Drosophila melanogaster: one gene and its partner. Changing the gene in region 2 together with the main gene of any one other region gives a genetic interaction. Each region holds a gene or a part of one and is shown on either strand. Other genes may lie near its edges.

Region 1 (6,901 bases), on a different chromosome or scaffold from region 2:
TAAATTTTATATTTAGAAATGAAATGCTCTGCATCTTTTAATGCCCTCTGCGACGTGGGAACGCCGCGTCCGAACTTGCAGCGGTTAATTCCCTATGTCGAGCCGCAACAGGACGACGAGGAGGATATGGTAGTGTGGTGCCGGTCAAATCTGGATTTGGCCTGCTCGCTCAGCGAGATGCGCATACGCTGTCCAGAGCACTTCGATGTCGCAACCGTCGTGGGGGTAAATTCGCATACCGGAAAACTAATCACCCACTTTAATCACCGGAAACTGGGGGATGTGGACCTGGCGCCTCACGCGTTGCTTAGCCGGCGAGACAAGTTCATGGACATTTGCCAGAAACAAGTAATGACGAGTCAGGGCTGCTTGGCGTCAGAGGGAACACCAATCCCCGCCGACCTGGAGGTCACTTGGCAGAGTCATAGCATCATTGACTGCCTTGCTCTCCGCAAGGTGCGTGCAGAGATGAATTTAGCTGATCAGAAGGCGGCCAAGAATCTTGTGGATCGCGTTGAGGTGCACCACAAGACTTTGCAGACGGAGGAGGCGGAGCGAAGGAAATTGATTATTGACAAGGCAAATTCTGCGAGGAACTTGACTATTGACAAGGCAAACTCTGCGAGGATCTTGGCTATTGACAAGGCAACCTCCGCTAGGAAATTGACTATTGACAACTCAACCTCCGCGGGGACATTGACTATAGACAAGGCAACCAACGCGAGGAAATTGACTATTGACAAGGGAACCTCCGCGAGGAAATTGACTATTGACAAGGCAACCTCCGCGAGGAAATTGACTATTGACAAGGCAACCTCCGCGAGGAAAATGACTATTGACAAGGCAAAATCCACGAGGAACTTGACCATTGACAATGCAACCTCCGCGAGGAAATTGACTATTGAGAAGGCAACCTCCGCGAGGAAAATGACTATTGACAAGGCAAAATCCACGAGGAACTTGACCATTGACAATGCAACCTCCGCGAGGAAATTGACTATTGAGAAGGCAACCTCCGCGAGACGTTTCTCTAGACCAAAAAGATATGTCAGCGGGTATATTTCCAAAAGAAAATCGATCGGAAAAACGGAGTCTTTGTCGCGCGGTGCATACATCCCCGATCCTGAGCTCAACCGCGCGATAGCCAAGTACGGTGTGTCTGCTAGTCAACCGTTCAAAAGACAGCATTGCCTTGTGCTGGAGAAGCATCCCGACAGAACCCAGATCCCGAACTCCAGAACCAACACCAGTGGCTGTAAGTCCGACGGCTCTTCAACACCCATTTGGAGAAGTGCTAGAACTGGTGCGGATCAGAATACGCAGGCAGAGAGTTCTGACTCTTTCAATTCCTCCAATTCCTTCGAGAGCTCCAGTCTGGCCAGCGATTCTCAAGAAAACCACGAGCTGTCCACGGCGGCAGGTCTGACGGCGGCCTTTATGCGGCGACACATGCTATTCCACCTCCTGGCCAGGAGGTTCAGAAGACGGTATCTACGTTAGCCACGTCGTAGCTCGGGTCGTATGTGCTGCGACAGCAAGTTCTCTAAATTGTATAGTGTATATGTATGTATGTTAGTAGCTGAATCGCGAAGAATTCCCGCGAATTTCCATAAAGTTCAAAGCAGTATTTAAATTTGCGGCTATCGATTACAACTAGCTATATCGCCGATGTGCAATGCTCTTGAACGCTAACCAACACTGTCAGTTTACCGCACACATGCAAATAGCATTGTGCATTGCAAATAAATTATATGTGTACACATATTTTTGTCAATTATTTCGTTCTAATTCATTTTAGGGTCCCCCAATTTAGGTATGTATGCAACACGACATACTGCTTGCAGTCACTGCATAACTCGCCAAGCACTGTAGTAATACCACCCCACCACGTTTAAACTGGCCGAATGCGCGCGTCGGTGTGACCGCATGGCTTTGCTGGCGAAATACCGGCCGCCCAACTAAAAATCCATTAACTTGTATTAACGTGTCAGACTCTGACTATGCAATCGCAATTGCAAAATCTTTAAGTAGTGGCAATAAATTAGTTTTCCTTCTGCACAAGTCCATCCCTAGGGCCACATCGTCCGCGCAGCCCTAGAAGTGGATAGTTCGAACGCGGAGTGGATCACACGCACCTGCCCGCCGCAACTAGTCAAGTTTCCCGCGTTTTCCATGGCGATTAAGTTGTGAAATAGTTATTTTGTTAATGTGTTTTAACCAACAACCGTGGCCGTGGTGTGGTCCTGGCTAATCGCAGCATCCCAGCGCTGTTTGTTCTGTCCCCTCGCCTGCTCTTTTGTTGTGTTCCTCAGAAAAGGGTGTATCGCGAACACACACACACGCGACAAACACTCGCACACAAACACACACGCCCAAATCATTTCGGCGGGAAACTTCATTATTTCTGTAATTAAGTGTAAGCTCTCGCAGTTACATGTCCGCGAGGAGCGCGGCGGCAAGCGCAGCATACACCGGCAGCCACTAGGCGCCAGGCCACTAGACGTAAACAGCGGCGCCAGGCCCGCAACGCCCCGGTTAGCCGGCTAGCTCCAATTCAGGCGCCTCCGTCTCCGATTTCCGACTCCAGGCTGTCGCCAGAAGCAGCGGCCGCCGCTGCAAGCATACGCAATCAGCCGGGACAGAGACATCATTCGCAGACATGAGCGAGCCTGACCCGCAGGAACTGGGAGCTGAGGTGGTCAGCGGATTGGTGGCGACCAGCGACGACCGCCTGGAGATGATCAACGCCGAGTACACGAACCTATGCCGGGATCTAAACATGGATCGGCAGACAGAGCTGCAGGGCTACGAGACGTACTTAGAGGTGTCCCAGAGGTGCTCCATGGAGGTGAGCTTCGAAGTGGCAGCAGTAGCCTCCAACCTAACGTCCTTTCTTTCATTCTTTCTGTGCATTGCCTGCCTAAAAGGGCACAGCCAGCCACTGGATGTGCTGCGCCATTTACACGGCCTGCCGAAGAACCAGCACACCCACGGTGACTGGCCAGAATGCAGTGGTCAAGGGTAATTGTGTGTCCTTAAACAATTTGCTGCGCTGCTGCAAGATGAGGTGGGTTGCCGTTTATGCCTGCAGTTTCACACCTAACCATTTCCACAATCCCCACCCACAGCATCTACGAGTTCAAGACCAAAATTAAGCAGTGGTGCGACATGGCCAACCTGCCTCAGGAGTTTGTCAACGAGATTGAGGATCTGGACCGCAAGTTCAGCATTACATTCATGCTGCACAAGCGTTTCCGCATTATTATGGACATGATCTTCTCGTGCCCGCCCAACGAGAAGAAGCACTCCAAGTACATGTGCGTATATCATCATGTCAGCCTGACCCCGTGTATATAAAAAGCTTCCCTCTTTGGAACAGTTCTCTGCATGGCAACCACGCCCACGGAAAGTGCTCGTACATCAAGCTGGACGACATCTGCTGGCGCCTGTTTCTCTGCGCCAAGAACCAGAAGCCGAGCAACACCGTGGACCTGGTGACATCCTACAATCTGATGATTTGCTGCATAGACCTGATATACAACAATGTGCTGGCCGAGAAGCGCACCGATCTCATCAACCCCAAATTCGAGGGCCTGCCGAGCAACTGGACGGAGCTGGACTTTCGTCACAATCCGCACTGCATTTTGTCCAACTTCTGTGACATGACCGAGGAGGCTAAAGCCATGAAGGCCACCACTTTCCGCCAGATCATGTCGAGCTTCTTTCAGGCTTCGGTAGGAGTGCCGTTTCGGATTTCCATTAAAACAATTAATTTGTTCTATTTTCATTTCGACCAGACCATCTACGGCAACAAGGACACTATGTTAGGCCTATTGGCTAACGAAAACTTCGAGCGCAACCTAAAGTCCCTCAACATCAGCTACGAGCAGTACGTCCTCAGCGTCGGCGAATTCGACGAACGCATTCTGAGTGCCTACGATGCGGGGGAACACACTGCCCTCAACGACCAGTCCCTGCGTCCGCCGGTTACTCCGCTTACCCGCAAGCAAGATCTGCCTGCGCAGCCCGCGATGGCTGGCGATAAATTTGAGCCCGTCCGCAACGCCACTAACAACGTGAAGCAGCTGAGCGCCTTCGGACGGATCACAGAACCCACGGACTTTGTCAAGTGAGTTGCCGGCTGGCCTTGTATTTGGGTTGGGTGTCGAGTGTTCCTAACTATCATTCAAAACCTGTGAGAGAGAAAAGGCTTATCTCTATGTCCAAATGGCTGAAAGTCGTTGGCGTCGTGTAAACAAAACTCATGTTTATTTGATTGCTTTATAAATCGTAGGAAATATCGAATATCGAATTTCGTTAGCCGAAGCACACATCCATAGAAATTTCTGTTGATGTAAGAAGAATCGATTAGATTAAATCCGGGATTGATTTCTATAGCTCATGTTTTGATATCGCCCTGTCTTTATCCAGGCAAGCTGGCGAAGAGGTAATAGCCAAGCTGCTTAGCATCATCGAGGAGATCGAGCAGAAATTCCTCGCCAAGTACCCGTCAACGGAGGCGAAGAGTCGCTTCCAACTAGCGAAGTCCTTCTTCTTCTACCTGCTCGACCAGATCCTGCAGGCGGAAATTCGGAACAAGCCCGACATCGATCTCAAGCGACTGCTGGTGCAGAAGGTCTCCCTGGTCATCTTTAACATCACGCTGATGGCCTGCTGCGTGGAGCTGGTGCTGGAGGCCTACAAAACGGAGCTCAAGTTCCCGTGGGTGCTCGACTGTTTCAGTATTAGCGCGTTCGAGTTCCAAAAGATCATCGAGATCGTGGTGCGGCACGGCTCGCACGAAGGCTGTTTGAACCGGTCGCTGATAAAGCACCTTAACTCCATCGAGGAGACGTGTCTGGAGCGGCTGGCCTGGGCGAGGAACTCGACCGTCTGGGAAATGATCGCCTCCGCCCAACTGCCGTTGCCCACGTGGCTCATGGTTAACCTCGACCGCGCCGCCGGCCCCTTGCAGATATTCCTGCGCAAGGTGTACCTGCTTGGCTGGTTGCGCATCCAGAAGCTGTGCTCGGAGCTGTCACTGTGCGAGAAGACGCCCGAGAGCATCTGGCACATCTTTGAGCACTCGATCACCCACGAGACGGAATTGATGAAGGACCGCCACCTCGATCAAAATATTATGTGTGCAATATATATCTACATAAGAGTGAGTAGCACATCCACATTCTATCTCTGTCCGATTCGCTGGCATACATTTTGAAATGCACATAATCAGATGCATTCGTCCGTGTGCAGCTGAAGACCCACTTATAACATCCATGCAACTCCTTACAACCCGCAGGTAAAGCGAATGGAGGACCCCAAGTTCAGTGACATTATGCGGGCATATCGCAACCAGCCGCAGGCGGTGAACAGCGTCTACCGCGAGGTGTTCATCGACATCAACGAGGACGGGGAGCCAAAGGTGAAGGACATCATTCACTTTTACAACCACACTTACGTGCCGCTGATGCGGCAGTTCGTCATCGACTACCTAAACGTAACTCCGGACGTGAGTGGCCGGGCTTCGGATCTACAGCTCTCCCCGCATCCGAAGGAACGGGCCGCCCAGCCCAAGAAGGTAACCCAGAGCCACTCGCTGTTCGTGTCGCAGATGTCCAAGAACGAGATACAGCAGTCGCCCAACCAGATGGTCTACAGTTTTTGCCGCAGCCCCGCCAAGGTAAATATTTCGGAGTTGCGTCCACCTCCTCAGCTATAACATCGATTAATCCGCTTGCTATACCCGCAGGACCTTCAGGCTATGAACGAAAAGGTACGCGGCGGCAAGCGCATGCTGAGCTTTGGCGACGAGCCCGGACTAGGTACAATGGCAGAGACGAAGCGCTCGAAAATCAGCCAGGTCAAGGCCGTCATGGACGACCCTGAACTGCAGTCAGCCGAGCAGCAGACTGCTGTTACCACGGAAGGTTGCGTAGGGGGCGAAGGAGGAGAACACGAGACATAGACACGGGGCTTATGGGGGCAGACTAGACTTAAGGCAAGAACTAAAAATTCGGCGCAGAAGGCCACACACTGGCCCCTCCGGCGCACGTTCGACTATTTTATGATTGTTTTTTTTTAAATATTAAAACTTAAATTGACATTTTAACTTAATTTCAACAAACTATTTTAGCACATCTTTTAATTTTGCTCAACGCCAGCCAACCATATAATTCATATGCTAACCCAATACTTTGAAATAGTTGTACTAAATACTTGATCACCACACACACACACATCCATCGGTCGCGACTCCCCGCGATTTAAAAATCACTAACAAAAAAACAAATCAAATTAATGCAATCCACATTATATATAAAAGCTTATATACAAATATACTTTTTACAAATTGATGTTAATTGTATTTATTTAAACATTTTCGTAGTCGATCTACGTCGTCGTACAAAGGATGGGATGTTTAAAATCGTAATTTCTCTGGTCGAAATTGCCACCTTTACAAGTTTCAGGCACCAGGCGAACAGAAACAGTAACAGGTGCTAGCTGGCCGCTCAAATTAACTAAAACAGCTGATCCTTTTCAAGATGGCTGCGCCTTACGCTTTTCCAGTCAGCCCATTCGACCAATAGGAAGCCAAAGATGGGGAGAAACCGTTAGTTACTTTATGATGTCTGCCCTATGTGGCAATTTTTGTTTGCCTGGTGTTCAGCCACTGAGAATTCACAAATTTTTGACAAAATTTACGACGGGGCAACATTTTTCGCAGACAACTGTCGGGTCCCAGACACTAGGCCAACAGAATCCCTAGCAAGCTGCAGCTGGCAGCCCTTTCGATCTTTCCAGTTACCAATTGACCAATAGGAAAGCAGCACAACCGTTAATTCGGAACAGAGCGCACACCAGTGATGAGCAGCCGAGTTGTTCTTGATGTTCGTGTCAC
Region 2 (5,029 bases):
CCGCCTCCCCTCCCTTCACCTTTTCACTGCCACTACTCTGCTCTCACGTTCTCCGTGTTAATTTCGAATTAGTATAGCAACAATAACCGGCCGCAAGGTGTAGTGAAGATTGTTAAATTAACGGATCTTTACTCTTTATAACTTAAATTTAGTCTGCCCCCGAATAATAAATATGCCCAATTGCAGACATGAAATCTCAATTCACTAATTAATAAAATATTAGCTAAAATCCCAATTCGAATGCAACTAATGGCTGGTATTTAATTTGCAGCCATAACTGTATTCCTCTGGCATGCCAATTTACCGTTATTAATTATGAAGATCATGCATTTACATGGCTATTAATTATATACGTTGTTATGTATGCAGACTCACGCACACACAGGCATAAGCACAAGCACACGAAAACATACATATGTATGTACATGCATGCTCACTAACACCCACACAGATACCAAGAGCTAATAAAAAGTTTCGCTTTCTTTTTGCACATCATTTTGCATGCGCAGTAAAAAGGCAGGGACAAGTGAAATAAATACAAATAAATAATGTGCGAGTGTGCAAGGTGTTAAGCAACAACAATTGCAATAGAGGGAAAAAAGTGAATCAAAAGCCAGAAAAAGAGGAAGAACACGAATTTTGTGTATTAAGCGGCAGTCCAGAGAGAGAAAGAGAGAGTCTCCCACGGTGTGTGTGTGTGTTGGAGGGGGATGCTGCTAGGGAAAAGAGACTGAGAGTAAAAGCCGGCCTGAATCCGAATAACAGCTGTTACTCACAGACACAATCCACATGGAACATCTCTCTTCATCTTTTTGTTGTTGTTGGTCCCATGGATGCTTTTTTCTAGCCGGTTTTATTTTCTCTATCATCTTTATTTCATTTGGTCAATTACACACACTTGGCTTCTTTCTTATGAACCGCAAGGACCGAGACAGAAGGCAGCCACTTAATTGCACACTTACAGAAATGAAATAAGGTAATAGTAATATAAAATAAAACGGCTGTAAGCCTCGCCTTAGCTTTTTTCGTTTGAGAAAGCCAAAAATAATTGCCAACTGGCCAAGTCAAGAAAAAGAGAACGAGTAAAAGAGAAGGCGGCTTTTTGTCCAGGGAGAGGCGCACAAAATGCGTCGCAAAATATTTCGCCCACAGAAAACTGCAAACATAATGAAAGCCCGGGAAAGGAAAAATTATTGCGTGGGTGTGGAATATCAATGCCGGCAAGGAAAGCAGAATGAATTCCAGGGAAGTCCCCTTTGCGTTTCATACACCAAAATTTTGTACATAATGTACAAAACTTCATTTCGCCTGGCCATTTACGCGATGACGCATTTAGAGCCAATCGAATATTGTGTACTCACAAGGCCTGATAACAGGGGCCACACATAATGTACACACTATGTGGTGCAGTCGTCAAGTACATGCACAGATTAAAGCGGAAAACTGTTGATGCAAGTCCAATTAACCCGACGAAACTGGTAGAAGTAACCGGCAAATTCAAGACCACAGAAAATATTAAAGAGACAAATGATCTGAGATTTTAAAACATTTAGATCACTTTAATTTGTAAAACAAACACATTACCTAATTATTACATGTCTATTGAACATTTCAGTTGATATTTATGACTGCAGTGCAGCTTTAATTTTGCATTCCTCAGTATCCACGTCAACACAAAAACGCCAGTTAGTTGGCTAATATTGTGCTGGACGGTTTTACACAATTAATTTTAACTTGAAATGTATTTTTGTCCATATCTTCGAAGAAAAACCACGAGTTCTTCAAACTGTTACCTGCACTGTTGTCTTAACATCTAGTAAAATGTTAATCTGGGGGGCGCCATAAAGAAATCGCCGCCGACTTTGGGCAAATAGAAATAAAAACTGATGGACTCCGAATTTTCGATTCGTTATCTCTGAAAACTGGAGCGTTGGGGGATTGAATGAGTGAGCGAATGACTGCTATTCACCGTATCGGTTTTGGAGGTTATTAGAGGGCTTAGCCCAAAATTGAATGATTAATTGATCATCAAAGGTGAGGTGGAAACTCCCTTTGCTTCTTTTTTTTTGTCTTGTTTGAATACGCACCTAAAAATGGAATTTTTGTTGGTTTTACTTGCTTTCTATATATCACACGCAACCACAACAAATTGCTCTGCTTTTTTTTCCACCGCCGCCTGCTTCTTCTTGCTCTTTTTGAATATCACACACGTTTCATATTTGCAAATTTTTCATTTTTTTGCGGGCGTTTTGCCTTTTCTGTCGGTTACTTTTTGTATTCCACGTATAATGTGCTGCTGCTTCTTACTCGTTTGACTCAGTCTGTGTGTGTGCGAGTGTGAGTACGTCGGTGGTGTGGGAACTTTTAACTTTACTACGCGACGTTTTCGTTTCTCTTCTTTATTCTCTATATATTCTACGATTCTGTGCGTGACGTCAGCAGTTCGAGCATTTGTTGTAGATATCACATAATTGTTACACGCCCGCACTTTTATTTTATTTTATTCTTGATTTTTTAGAGCATTTGCTATTGCTACTCAGCGACTTGAATCTTTTACTTGCAGAGGCAGTCTTTTGCGGCTTTTTGGTTTTTCTCTCAGTTTTCCATTTTCACATTTTTGCGGACTGGCGACGAAAAGCGAACTGAACTTGGGCCACAAAGTGTGTTGTGCCGTGTCTTTTTTGGAGTCGCCGTCGCCGGCAAAACGCAATCCACACGCGGAGAAAGAGAATCGGAGAGACACGAGATAGAGAGAGAGAGCGAGAGAGGGAGTCGTCTTACGTCAGACGGAGAAAACGTAAGCACCACCGTAATGGCACTTTTAATACCGGCCACTTACGCTTAATTAGTGTATTAAACCACATTAACTTATCAATACCTCAGTCTTGTACTCTTTTCAGTTAGCTTTTCTATTTTTTTTCGGATTTTTCCGTCGATTTTCCCCTCGTAACGTGTTTTCTGCTCGCACATGTGTGTGGGGGCGGCAGCGGCAACAGCAGCGTCACGACGCGACAACAACACTGAACGCGGCGAATCGACAGAACAAGCAACGAGCCACAAAACGCACGGCGTCTCTTGTAGCGGCGAATTTGAGGCGTCAGCAGCTGAGCGCTCGCGGCACGAGAGAGTGAGAGCAGAAGAGAGTGGATCGTAAATTGAGTGGAGACAAAACTGATCAAACGATAGCTATTCGATATTACGATAGGTTGTCAATTCAAAAGGGAACGAATATTTTGGGTTATTAATATTTTGCAATGAATAAATACATTTGAGTGTTAAAAGAAAAATATAATTATTTATAAGCGAAGTTAAATACCTATAACAGCGCTGTTAATCACTTCCTGAATTGTTTTTTAAATGCTACATTATTTTACCTAATATCAGCTTTTAATTAAATCTTTGGTCCAAGTTTTATTTGAAGTTTTTAATTTTAAAATTCTGTTGATATAAAAACTAATGCTTGAAGCTAAGAGAACCACGCTAATTGCAGCGAATTAGCGGCAACAGCTGAGCACGAGAGAGAACGAATGTGGAGAAGGGGGCGGAAAGCGAAAGCGCAAGAGGGTGGAATGTGAGTGGCGCCGCTTCCTACTCTTCACATGTGGCATGTGGAAGCCAGACTCGAATGTTCGGTGAGAGCGGCTTTTGCTTTTGGCCCCCAACCCTTTTCGCTCTCTTCGGCTTGCCGGCTACAAATCGGCTAAAAATCGCTCAGACGGAAGTGGCGACGTCGCTGTTACCGCACCCACATCAACAGCGACGCCGGCAGAGAACCTTTCCCCTCCCGCTCAACCAACCGCTTCACCATCTTCTTTATCTTTATCAGTTGTGTGCCAAGTGTTGCATTGCGTTGCAGTGACGACATTGTTGTAGTTGCAGCAGCACAGCAGCGTTGCCGATTTTCAGCGCCCCATCAACAAGGGGTACACTTTTTAAGGCCGGAAATAGGCATTAAATGGGTCTATCGCATAACTCGACACTGTCGCACACAAATCTATTAATTTCTACGTATCATAAAAATTATGCCTGAGATTAAAGCCAAGTATGCTCATCTCACAGCTCACAGCTTAATCATATAATATACCTTAAAGATTTGCAACTTTATAGAGAAAAGTTAGTATTTAATTAAGTAAATACTAACTGAAGTGTAAAAATTCACCTATTTGCTGAGCAACTGACCTGATTAAAGAAACCTGCTCAAACATTTGACTTTCCATTCTTATATTATTTGTTATTCCACTATTAATCTACTTTAGTGCAAAAGCACTTTCTACTAAACAAACAATACTCATACATTCTGGAATAATGCAAAGTTTGTACTCATAAATATCCCAAAATCGCTACCATGTCACTTTTTCTAACAACAATCTGATTAAATATTTACAACTCATGCCCGCTGCCATTTGCATTCCTGGTTTTGTGTGCACAAATGTATCTCGCAAATCAGTACAACTTGCCAGGCGATCTGCGCAGTGTTTCCCATTCCCATAATCCCAAGCCCAGTAACTGAGAAACATCCCCCCCCCCTCCTACCAGAAATGTAATCTCCTTTCCAGTTTTCGATTTCTATTAACTTTTTAGGCAGTTTTTTTTTTTGGATTCGAGGCTGTTATCCTTTGGGTTTCTCTTGGGTGGGTTGCTGAGGCGAGGACACTCACAGATCCGTGAGTGTGATTTTTTTCACATTTCCCATAAGCCAGACCGGCAGACAAGAAGAAGAAGAAGAAGAATGAGAATACGAATATGAAGAAGAGGGGCGAGAATCACCCCTCACGGACGCAGAAAGAGAGGAAGAACTTTGGCCCCTGCGCCTGCCCCTTCCCCCTTCCCATCCCTTGCCCAACACATATGCAATTAGAGTATCTCTATGCTTGATTTTTTTTCAACCATTTTCTGCAAGATGGTTTTTTTTTTTCGCCTACCAGATAGAAGAGCGCAAGCGGGAACTTCCCACGATCCTTGGGTGGACTTTTGTACTTTGGAAGACATTTTATGTGCGCAGTGTCATAAATACTTTTAATTAACTGGA

The links. Genes that interact genetically often act in the same process or in processes that back each other up.
Region 1: of E2f1 (region 2) and Rbf, changing one suppresses a phenotype caused by changing the other (phenotypic suppression), as found in Drosophila melanogaster (5 studies listed by BioGRID).

Annotation. Positions count from the first base shown.
Region 1 is NC_004354.4:796,544-803,444, reverse strand, and holds Rbf (Retinoblastoma-family protein), read left to right. Parts: upstream 1-1,965; 5' UTR 1,966-2,659; coding exon 2,660-2,848; intron 2,849-2,927; coding exon 2,928-3,067; intron 3,068-3,128; coding exon 3,129-3,317; intron 3,318-3,379; coding exon 3,380-3,734; intron 3,735-3,797; coding exon 3,798-4,129; intron 4,130-4,431; coding exon 4,432-5,167; intron 5,168-5,302; coding exon 5,303-5,683; intron 5,684-5,752; coding exon 5,753-5,968; 3' UTR 5,969-6,355; downstream 6,356-6,901. Other genes in the region: CG13359 (uncharacterized protein), read left to right, coding at 19-1,500.
Region 2 is NT_033777.3:21,630,046-21,635,074, forward strand, and holds the start of E2f1 (E2F transcription factor 1), read right to left. Parts: upstream 3,029-5,029; 5' UTR 2,879-3,028; exon of another isoform or gene 2,088-2,878; intron 1-2,087. UniProt on the Drosophila melanogaster protein: Transcriptional activator that binds to E2f sites. Required for wild-type growth in mitotic and polytene tissues, Contributes to the expression of replication genes at the G1-S transition and Cyclin E.